Linked DNA regions of Caenorhabditis elegans. The protein of the gene in region 3 purifies or fractionates together with the protein of the main gene of each other region. This does not show direct contact. Each region holds a gene or a part of one and is shown on either strand. Other genes may lie near its edges.

Region 1 (4,096 bases), on a different chromosome or scaffold from region 3:
AAAATCTCAATTTTCACTTAGAAATTCGCCAATTTTCCGAAAAAAATCTGAATTTCAGCAAATTGAGCTCAAATGCCAAATTTTTCTTGTGAAAAGTTGCAATTTTCATATGAAAATTTGCCAATTTCGCACGAAAAATCGTTTTTCGGTAAATTCAACCGTAAAATTCTTAATTTTCACGTAGAATTTCTCAAGAATTCCCCAAAAAAAAACACGCACTGAGCCCTGGCTCTTCCCTGTCGATCCAACTGCACATTTGGTACACTAAGCCTGACTAATCTCGCAAATAACGATTGTTCCATATTCGAATATTTCTGGAATGCCTGATTCTGTACAACTGGCGGCAGCTGATGATGATCTCCAATCATAATCCATCGTTTCAGTCGATTGTGTCCGTCTTGTGGATTTTGTAGTAACAATGGGATAAATGTTTCAACTTCAAGAATTTGAGCGGCTTCTTCCATTACGATATTATCGTAGCGGAAGCCGAGCTTCACGAGCTCATTTCGACGGAGAGCCGCGTGTGTACAAGTCATTGCGATGATTTTTGCCTCTTTCACCTGAAAAAATCCAGGATTTTTATAATTTTCAGAGTGTTTTTGTTGTAATTTCGTCGAAAAACTCTAAAATTTTCAAATTTAACATTTCGAAATTTGAATTTTAATTATATTTTTTCTTTTTTTTGCAAAATTTTGTATATTTTATTTGAAATTTGTTGTAGGTTGTAGTTTAGGGAGCACTATATGCCTAGATTCGATATATTTTTTTGCAATTTTCAACATTTTTTCCAATATCTTATTGATCAGATAATTTTTATGTCAGTTGTTTTTTTCTTTTTTGCTTTTTTAAAAGTTTTAAGTAGGCGGGCAATTGTTGTTCGGAAAATTCGGCGAATTCCGGCAAGTTTTTACCCGTTTGCCGGAAATGTTCAATTCCGGCAATGTGCCGGTTTGAAGGAAATTTTCAGTTCCGGCAATTTGCCAGAAATTTTAAATTCCGGCAAATTTTTGCCGGTTTGCAGGAAATTTTCAATTCCGGCAAATTGCCCATTTTGCCAGAAATTTTCAGTTCCGACAATTTGCCGGAAATTTTCAATTCCGCCAATTTGCCGATTTGCCGGAAATTTTCAATTCCGGCAAATCGCCCATTTTGCCAGAAATTTTCAATTCCGGCAGTTTGCCAGTTTGCCGATTTGCCAGAAATTTTTAATTCCGCCGGTTTGCAGGAAATTTCAAATTCCAGCAATTTGTCGATTTGCCAGAAATTTTCAATTCCGGCAACTTGCAAATTTGCCGGAAATTTTTAATTCCGGCAAGTTTTTGCCGAATTGCCGGAACTGCAGTTTTTGACTGAAATTGGCTTAAAAATAAGCTTTTCAGACCAAAATTTCTACCGTAATCCAACACAAAGTACCAAAACTGCCAAATTTTGGCATTGTCCGATTTGTACGAAAAACTACAAGAATCAATCGAAAATTCGCTTTTCCGTGGAAAAACTTCACATTTTTCCAGATTTTCAGACAATTCTGAAGAACAGCCGGAAAATCTCACCCAATTCCCAGGTATCTCACCTCTCCGGTGTCACCTTTTCCCGGTCATGTCTCCCGCCAAACAAAATCGCACCTTCTCGCCTCCCCGCCTACCTAGGCAGCAATGCTCCGCCTAGATTTACAGCCTCCCCAGCTGGAGAATAGCCACTATAATTCCCCCAATTCATTCCACACAAAATGTCATCATCCAACTATAATATTAATAACGGCGGTGACTATTATCCTTTGTCTTCTTCGAATCTTAATTCAACTTCTGCTATTACTAATGCTACTGTAATGGAATATTCCACAATGCCAAGCAGCTCTCCGGGCTCAATGAGCTCATCGCCAGCCTATCCGGCGGCCTATCAGGCTCCATCACCGTGCTACGTGGCGGATCCCAATCAGCTTTACTATCAACAACAGCTGGCTCATAATGGGAATGATATGTTGTAAGTTTTTTCGATACTTTTCAGTACAAAACGGGCGTTTTAGAGTGATTTTCACTACGTTTTTCTACCGAAATGCGTGAAGAACCGCTAATTTTAATGGGGTTATTCAATTAGCGTCGGAAAATTAAAAAGTGTAGAAAAATTACGTCACAACTGTATTAAAATACATTTAAAAACATGTATTTAAATACATTTTGCAAGTAACATTTCTTGAATAACCCCATAAGTTTTGACAGTGGGAAATTACTCAAAATATAGCTTTTTCACACTATATGGCCGCGAACGGGCATTTTTAGCAAAAAAAAACTTTGTTAGCTGCTTTGTTGCAATTAACAGCTCTAAAAATTCCAATTTGAACTATTTTGGTAGCTGCAATTTTGCAATTAACAGTGTCGAAAAGTCCAATTTGCACAAATTGGGCAAATTTGGTAGCTGCTTTTTTGCAATTAACAGTGGCCAAAATTCCAAATTTAGGCAATTTTGGTAGCAGCTGCTTTTTTTGCAATTAACAGCTCCAAGAAGTCCAATTTGCACAAATTGGGCAAATTTGGTAGATTTATTGCAACTAGCAATGTCGAAAATTCCAATTTGAACTATTTCGGTAGCTGCTTTTTTGCAATTAAAAGCTCCAAAAATTCCAAATTTATGCAATTTTGGTAGCTGTTTTCCTGCAATTAGCAGTGTCGAAAAGTCCATTCTGAACTATTTTCGTAGCTGCTTCTATGCAATTAAGAGCTCTTAACAATCCAATTCAGGAAATTTTGTTTGCTACTTTTTTTGCAATTAACTGTTTTCAAAAATTTCAATTTTGAACAATTTTCGAAGCTTCTTCTTCGCAATTAGCAGTGGCCAAAATTCCAAATTTAGGCAATTTTGGTAGCTGCTTTTTTTGAAATTAACAGCTCCAAGAAGTCCAATTGCCACAAATTGGGCAAATTTGGTAGCTTCTTTTTGGCATGTTAAATTTACAGCGGCAAAAATCCCTATTTGGAAAATTTGATCACTGCTTATTTGCAACAAAATTCATCTCCGTGATCGCTTTTCTTCCGAAAATTCCTTTTTTTTTACAGAGTTCAAGCCCATGCTCAAGCCTACCAAGCTCAATGCTTCGCCTGGTTCCAGCAGCAGTACTCACAACTCTCCCCATCCTCGTTTCCTCATCCTATGGTGGCTCATCACGCTGGCTTCATCCCACCACCGCCGTCTTTTCTACATCATCAGCATCAGCAGCATCCAAGAGCTCCTTCAGAAAAGCGGAGAGGCGCTCGAACTCCGTTCTCCGATTCTCAGCTTTACGCGTTGAGAACCAGATTTGAGCAGTGCGACACAATAAAGGTTGACGAGCGACGGAAGTTGGGAGCAGTCATCGGACTTTCGCCCGAGCAGATCAAGATTTGGTTTCAGAATCGGAGATTCAAGTTGAGAAAGGAGAAATACAAGCAGATCAAGCAGGACGCTGTGCAGCAACAGAAATCGGCGAAGGAGGAGGCGGAGGAGGACCAGAAGCATGTTATTTCTTGATTTGTGTAGCTTTTTGTCACTTGTATTATTGTGTGCCCCCAATAAACGATGTTCGATTGAATTGAAGAAAAAAAACCGCGAAATTTGAATTTTCAGTGTTTTTGAACCTTTTAGAACATCAAAATTAGTAGAAATTCCACAACTTCAAAATTTTTGTCTCAAATTTACAACTCTCCGAGCATGTGTATTATAGGCGGTGTAGTCGATTTTTTTTATTGCTTCATTAGACTCAAAATTGTCTGAAAACACAGAATTTCATAATGAAACTTTTTTGAAAACTTCTCAAAAAAAAATTATGACGGCTCAAAAAATGGCCAAAAATTCGTTAAAATTTCAAATTTGACCGACGACTTGTCAATGTCGTAACGGCTGAAGGCAATTTTTTTTTTGAAATCACCGTCAAATTTTGAGTATACAATGTAATTATCTTGCGTTTTCAACTTCATTTAGGTATTTTAAAGTCCATGGACTACGGCGAGATTTGGTTTTAAAAATTTAAAAATCTCTTCGTCCATCGATTTTAAAATACCTAAATGGAGTTGAAAACTCAAGATAATCATGCTGTAAACTCAAAATTTAACGATGATTTCAAAAA
Region 2 (3,034 bases), on a different chromosome or scaffold from region 3:
CGGTTATTGCTCCTTTGAGCACTGAAAATCATATATGCATAAAAGTACATCATATTTTCAACTTTTCATAACAGAAACTTTGTAGCTATCTTATGTCTGGCTGCTATTTAAAAAAAAAATCAAAATTATAAGGGTATTTTATGCAAACATTCAGTAAGCCTTTTGGATATTTTAACTTTTCGAGAAAAAACTGAATTTGTCTCACCCAACGTGATCAAAGCGGCTCCGATTTTTTCAAGGAAAAAAAATGGTTTGAAAAATGTCCGAGATCAATTGTTCTAGTTCAAAGTTCTCTTCTGTGTATTTTTAGTAAACATATTTCATTTCACTTAATTTTTATTTTGTATTTGTATTTGTATTTGATTGAAACAAACTTTAAAAAAACCTATTCTGTCTGAAAATAATTTTCCCCCTAACTATATAATTTTTTTAAAAAAGATTATTGTAGAAATGAATATAATCTCTACCAAATAAAGCAGTTAGATCATTTTTTAAGACTCCATTGTGCTAGAATGACTAAAAGGAAAAGCTTTCCATAAGACATAAAGTTTTTTGTGCTATTCAAAAATTATATATATATTTATCAACAAAAAGACGACTCTCCCACAATCAGTAGTCTTTAGAAATCATGCAACCAATTTAACTCATCCTTCATATATTTTCTCTGATAAGGAGAATAATAATACAAATCCAAGAAGAATTTATTTAAAAATTCACACCCTATCAATATCTTGTTTACCATTTTGAAGTGAGGTATGTGAACGAGAAAATCTGCAATAAATTAAGTACTTTATCGGTCAAAACTGGATACGGATTGGTGTTTGATTTGAAATTCTCGGACAAACTGGCTTTGAGATTCTTTATTAAATCCTTGAAGATCCCACTATACTAGTTGCTTATTAAAAACTTCAAACACCCACAACTAGATTTGATGAGTGCGATGATGCCTCGACAAGCAATCCAATTTAAAAGTACCGTATCAAATTATGTGAAATCTTCAAAAATTCATCGTGAAAAAACAGTTAAACATCTTTTAAACAAATTCCAAGAACTGTGAACCACAGGAAATCTGATTTCCGTGTTTGTCTTGAATTTTGCGAAAAAGGCGAAAGATTACGAGTAAAGATGGAAATAGATGTGTCTACTAGGAAATGAAAATGTTTTTTCAAATCAAATAAATATTTTCTAAGGGAATAAAAACGATTTTTGAGATAAATTGGCATTTCACGAAGAGCCTAAAAATTAAAGAGAACGATTGTTTATGTAATCATTGTGAAAAAACGTTCTAAAAGTCCAGCTTATGACAAACAATTTAAATTTTTAATTGTCTCCCTGTTTTAATTTCACCTGGAAGAATCAGCGTAAACTCCACAGACTGGTAAACCAATTAAAGACGTTCCGAAGTGGGTGCTAGCAGCTGATGGATCTTGCAATTTTCATATTGGAGTAAATTGAAAAATTATCCAAAAGCTCTAAAAATTGAAAAAAAAATCAAAAGTTTTGCCGTTCTTAATTTAATAAAATTATCTTTTCGGACCATCAAGTTCCTAGATGATATCATAATATCTTTTGAACCTCTCATTCCCACGCAAAGAAACTGCGTTGAACATTGTTTCGATTATTCATGATATATGTCAAAAGCATCTGTCATATTAAAATCCGCTTATGTCTCTCTGTCATCATTTGAACATGTCTGCTAAAATGTTTTTTATTTGCATTATCCGATTACCACCCTACTATCATTCATCCGATTTCCAGCAAAATCCTCCTCCCCCCAAATAGGCGGAGCTCGAGAAGAAAGTACTGAAATGGGCGGAGCAAGTCGTCGTCTGCTTTAATCTGGCACATGCGACATATAAAGGACTTGCTCTGTGGGTGACACCAACTCAGTTTCATACACCCTTTGCTTTCTTCTATAATGCGGATTTTCATCTATTTTCTTGTTCTTTGCAATGCAATCTGCACTCTAATGGCTTATGATATTCGAGATTTTGAAGTAATCCGACAGAACGCTGTTCGAAATATTGCAAGTCTAGAGAATATTCTTGAACAAAGACTTCCTTCTCACAGACATCATAAAAGTCCAAAGGTTTGTTTATTTTATTAATTATCTGAAACATGTTCTTACTTTCTCATACTTTCAGAGTCGACGAATTGGTGGAAACATTGTAATGGGTTAGAATCACCATATTTGATCTACTTTAATTGTTGCACTTCTTCACATCATTTCATCATTTTCCTGTTACAGTCTAAACGGGTCTCACAACGACTTCCCCTTCTCATCGGGTTCCATTTCTACTATATTGTAGTATAAACAGACCACTGTGTATTTTTTTTTGATTTTTTGATTTTTTTTTCTGTAAACTTAGTTAAGTTTCGATTAGTTTTATTTATTGAAAGAATAACGACAATAAATCGTTTAAAAGCTCATTGCATATGGAAGTATAAGTGATTTAAATGTATGTTGCGGGGATTGGGGAAAGAATTTGGAGAAAGGGGAAAGGAGAAATCGAATGAAACTATAAAGATTTCAAATAAAAAACACACCGGTACGAAATTAGTCAAGAATAATACATTATAGGTATTTATTTCAATTAAACTTTTCCTAAGAGCCAATTTCCAGGGCTAGATGGATCTTCTGAATGGAAGAATTGTTTCCAAAGAACATGGAATTTCTTTTTATCAATACTATTGATAAGTTGACCTTGATGATTCTGAAATTTAAGTTATTAAGGTTTGGAAACTTTTTGAACTGAATTATTTTCAAGTTTTAACTTTTAAAATTTCATATGGCACCCAAATAATTTATGAAATCATTAGTCTGGGCAATAGATAATATCAGGGAGGAAAGCACATCGAAAACGAGTTTAATTGAGATGCTACAGTTCTTTAGGTACAGTAGCCATGAAGAAATTCGGAGTTCGATAGAGCAAAGAGCCAATATGAGTTTTTCCCCATTTAAATCAATTACTCACTGTGAAATTATTGCTAAATATGATCCTTCTTGGTCTACCCACCCACTTTCATTAAATGA
Region 3 (2,998 bases):
TCGCCTTCTCCCGATCCAACCATGCCGATCTTCCATCCCGACCCATCCCGATCCATCCCGTTCCATCCCGATCCATCCCGATCCACCCATCCTGATGTTCGTCGTCGCGTCTGTCTGTAAAAATGTAAAATGTAATGTAAAAATGTAAAAAAGTAAAAAAAGTCTGTAAAAATCAGATTATCTGAAGCATCGTTTAATTTTTTTCTCGATTCATCCATCCCGATCCTTTGCTGTGGTCGTCGTTGTCGTTGTCGTCGTCGTTGCTCTCGCTTCCACCCGATTCCAACCAACCATCCCGATCCATCCATCCCAATCCATCCCAATCCATCCCAATCCATACCGATCCATCCCAATCCATACCGATCCATCCGATCCATCCTGATCTATCCCGATTTATCCCGATTCATCCCGATCCATCCCGATCCATTCCGATCCATCCTCATCCATCCCGAATCCATCCCGTCCGCCGATCCCAATCGTCGCATTTGAATCCATCGTTCCATCCCGATCCATCGTCGCTCGAGATCTTTTGAGTGAGATCTCGTTTCAATTCAACTCCATACTATCGCCACCTTTTGTCCATGTCTTCTTTCCGTCGTCGTTTGTTCCTTCTTCTTCTGTTCTGTAAAAATGTACTTTTTTAATTACCGGAAATAATGATTCTGAGAAGAAAGTTCTTCACATGGGGCCGCATATTCGAAAAGTTTGCTCCTGGGAAGTAGAAGAGCACGCGGTCAGCCGTCCCCCTCACTTCACCAGAAGGCCTTTTGGGCCTCCTGGGAAGAATGCCGGGGGCGGTTCATTCGGTCGGGGTATTCCGGATTAGCTCCGCCCACAAAATCGTGCCTTGTAAAACGATGTTTTCCATTTCGAAACCGTGTGATGGTTGCGGAAAACACAGTTTTGTAAGGCACAGTTTTGTGGCCGGAGCCATTCCGGAATACCCGACCGAATGAATCCACTGAAATATTTAGCTCTTGGGTTTTTTTTTTATCCTGAATTTTCAGAAATTTTTATTCAGGATTTTTTAAAAAGAAAAATTCGGGTTTGGCAGAAAAAAATTGATTCCAATATTTTGGAATCTTTGATTTTTGAGAACTAAATTTCGAATTTTTGAATCAAAAATGTTAAAAATTTTGAAAAAAAATCTTACGTTCTCGGTCGTCCTTTGCTGCTTCTTGCTGTTGCTTGGTGATTATGCAGGTGGTGGCGATAGCTTAGAATAGGAGTTGCTTCTTCATGTGATGCTCTACACCGTAAGAACTGCACATCATCACCCAAGTATTCCATAGAGCAAGAACCGCCCGATCGTATCGCAGTATGGGCCCAACATCGGTTCTCATTGTTCGTTAGGAACAGAAGTACTAGCATGATGTTGGTCATTAGCCTTTATTCGCTACCTCTGAGTACGGTGTATGATGTGTTTAAGCCTCAATTCCGATCTCCCGTTTCAGACAGTTGTCTTAGCGGTGTTATATTTAAACTTCTGTTTTTAGAAGTTTGATACTAAATGAGAAAATGATTGAGAAACTTCTGATTTCAGAAGTTTCGTACTAACTTTCCAACAAAGAGGGGGAGGGGGAAAGAGAGAGGGATGTAGCAGTGTCCATTGATTGTCCGAAGCACGAAAGACTGTTCCAGTAACAGTTCCAGAGAATCCATCCATCGTTCGATCCGGCGATCCATGTTCAAACACAAAGGGGAGCATGCATAACATAACAGGTGCAGGGATTTGGGAAGGGATTGGGGTGAGAAAAAAGAGAAGGAAAGTTGGAAAGCGTACTTCTTCTAGAATAATTATTCTAGAAGTCGAGTGAAAATTGAGTAAAAGTCGAGAAGAGAATTTCAACTCTTTTCTTTGGATTTTTTTTGTTTTTTTGTTGGAAAAAGGTTCTTTTTAATTTATAAAAATTTAGATCGGAAATCCGCTTCAAACACGATCAACTCAAACACGATCAACTCAAACACGATCAACCCGGCGTTTCCCCTGAGCCAAGAAAGAGAGAGAGCGTGATAGAGGCGGAGACACAGACAAAAGTGAGATCGTCTCCTATAGAGGGCTGCCGGAAGGGGGCGTTGTGGACCTGTGGGAAGAAGGGGGAGACGACCGCACGGGCTGTAAATGGGTACCTGGCCGTAATCTCAAAAACGAGCACAGTAAAGTATATTTTCAGTTAATTTCCTGAAAGAAAACAGTCAAAAAGATTGTTTAATGCAATTGAACAAATCTTTGGATATATAATAGTTTTATTTTGAAACTTTCCACTTTACCAAGATTTTTTGATTTAGTACTGAATTTCATTGATTTCTATTAAGTTCTTCGAATAATTTAAAATGCTTTAAGCACAGGCTCTGTGAGTAGTTATGTTAAGTGAATTAATTCGACACACTTGAACAAATTCGGACAAAAAATTGTTAGCCAAATATCTCAAATAGAATTTCGAAAAAAAATTGAAAAAATTGAATTTGAGTTTTGATGAAATTTTTTGAAATCAGTTAATTTTCAATTTTACTTTCAGAAAACATTTTTAAATTCCTGTGGCTAATCAGGTTCTAAAGCTTCGTCAGTCTTGACCAGAGGTACCCTTTTACAGTCCGTGGTTTTTTTTTAAATTTCTAGTCTGATAGCTTGAGAATTTGGAAAGTTCTATATTGGATAAGCAACTACGAGTTTTCAGAATGTTTCCAAAACTATCGGAAATCAACAGAAATCTTAACAAAAAATGTTGTAATACAGTTTGGGGATTTGAAAACTTTTTACTTATTTCAGAAACTGTTTTAGGAAGTTTTTAGAGTGGTGCAAGCCACTAGAAATAGAAAAAACAGATTATATCTATTTTGAAAAAAAACCCATTTTTTGATGACGCTTTGAATTATTTTGATACTATTTTTCATAATCAAAATCAAAAAATTCTGAACTTTTACCAACTTTTACCATTTTTTAGAATGTCTTAAAAACTATCAAAAGCCGCCAAAAAACTTATAAAGTTTTGAACTA

Evidence for each region.
Region 1: the proteins of Y49E10.30 (region 3) and ceh-51 fractionate together in Caenorhabditis elegans (co-fractionation; one large-scale study listed by BioGRID). This does not show direct contact.
Region 2: the proteins of Y49E10.30 (region 3) and T09A5.14 fractionate together in Caenorhabditis elegans (co-fractionation; one large-scale study listed by BioGRID). This does not show direct contact.

The regions. Positions count from the first base shown.
Region 1 is NC_003283.11:18,872,407-18,876,502, forward strand, and holds ceh-51 (Homeobox protein ceh-51), read left to right. Parts: upstream 1-1,726; coding exon 1,727-1,980; intron 1,981-3,050; coding exon 3,051-3,501; 3' UTR 3,502-3,576; downstream 3,577-4,096. Other genes in the region: emb-4 (Intron-binding protein aquarius), read right to left, coding at 220-560. UniProt on the Caenorhabditis elegans protein: Required for mesoderm development, including specification of muscle and coelomocyte precursors.
Region 2 is NC_003280.10:7,830,473-7,833,506, forward strand, and holds T09A5.14 (Neuropeptide-Like Protein), read left to right. Parts: upstream 1-1,881; 5' UTR 1,882-1,918; coding exon 1,919-2,089; intron 2,090-2,144; coding exon 2,145-2,180; 3' UTR 2,181-2,431; downstream 2,432-3,034. Other genes in the region: cex-2 (Calexcitin-2), read right to left, coding at 2,595-2,714.
Region 3 is NC_003281.10:12,385,270-12,388,267, reverse strand, and holds Y49E10.30 (uncharacterized protein), read right to left. Parts: upstream 1,372-2,998; coding exon 1,154-1,371; intron 623-1,153; coding exon 547-622; downstream 1-546.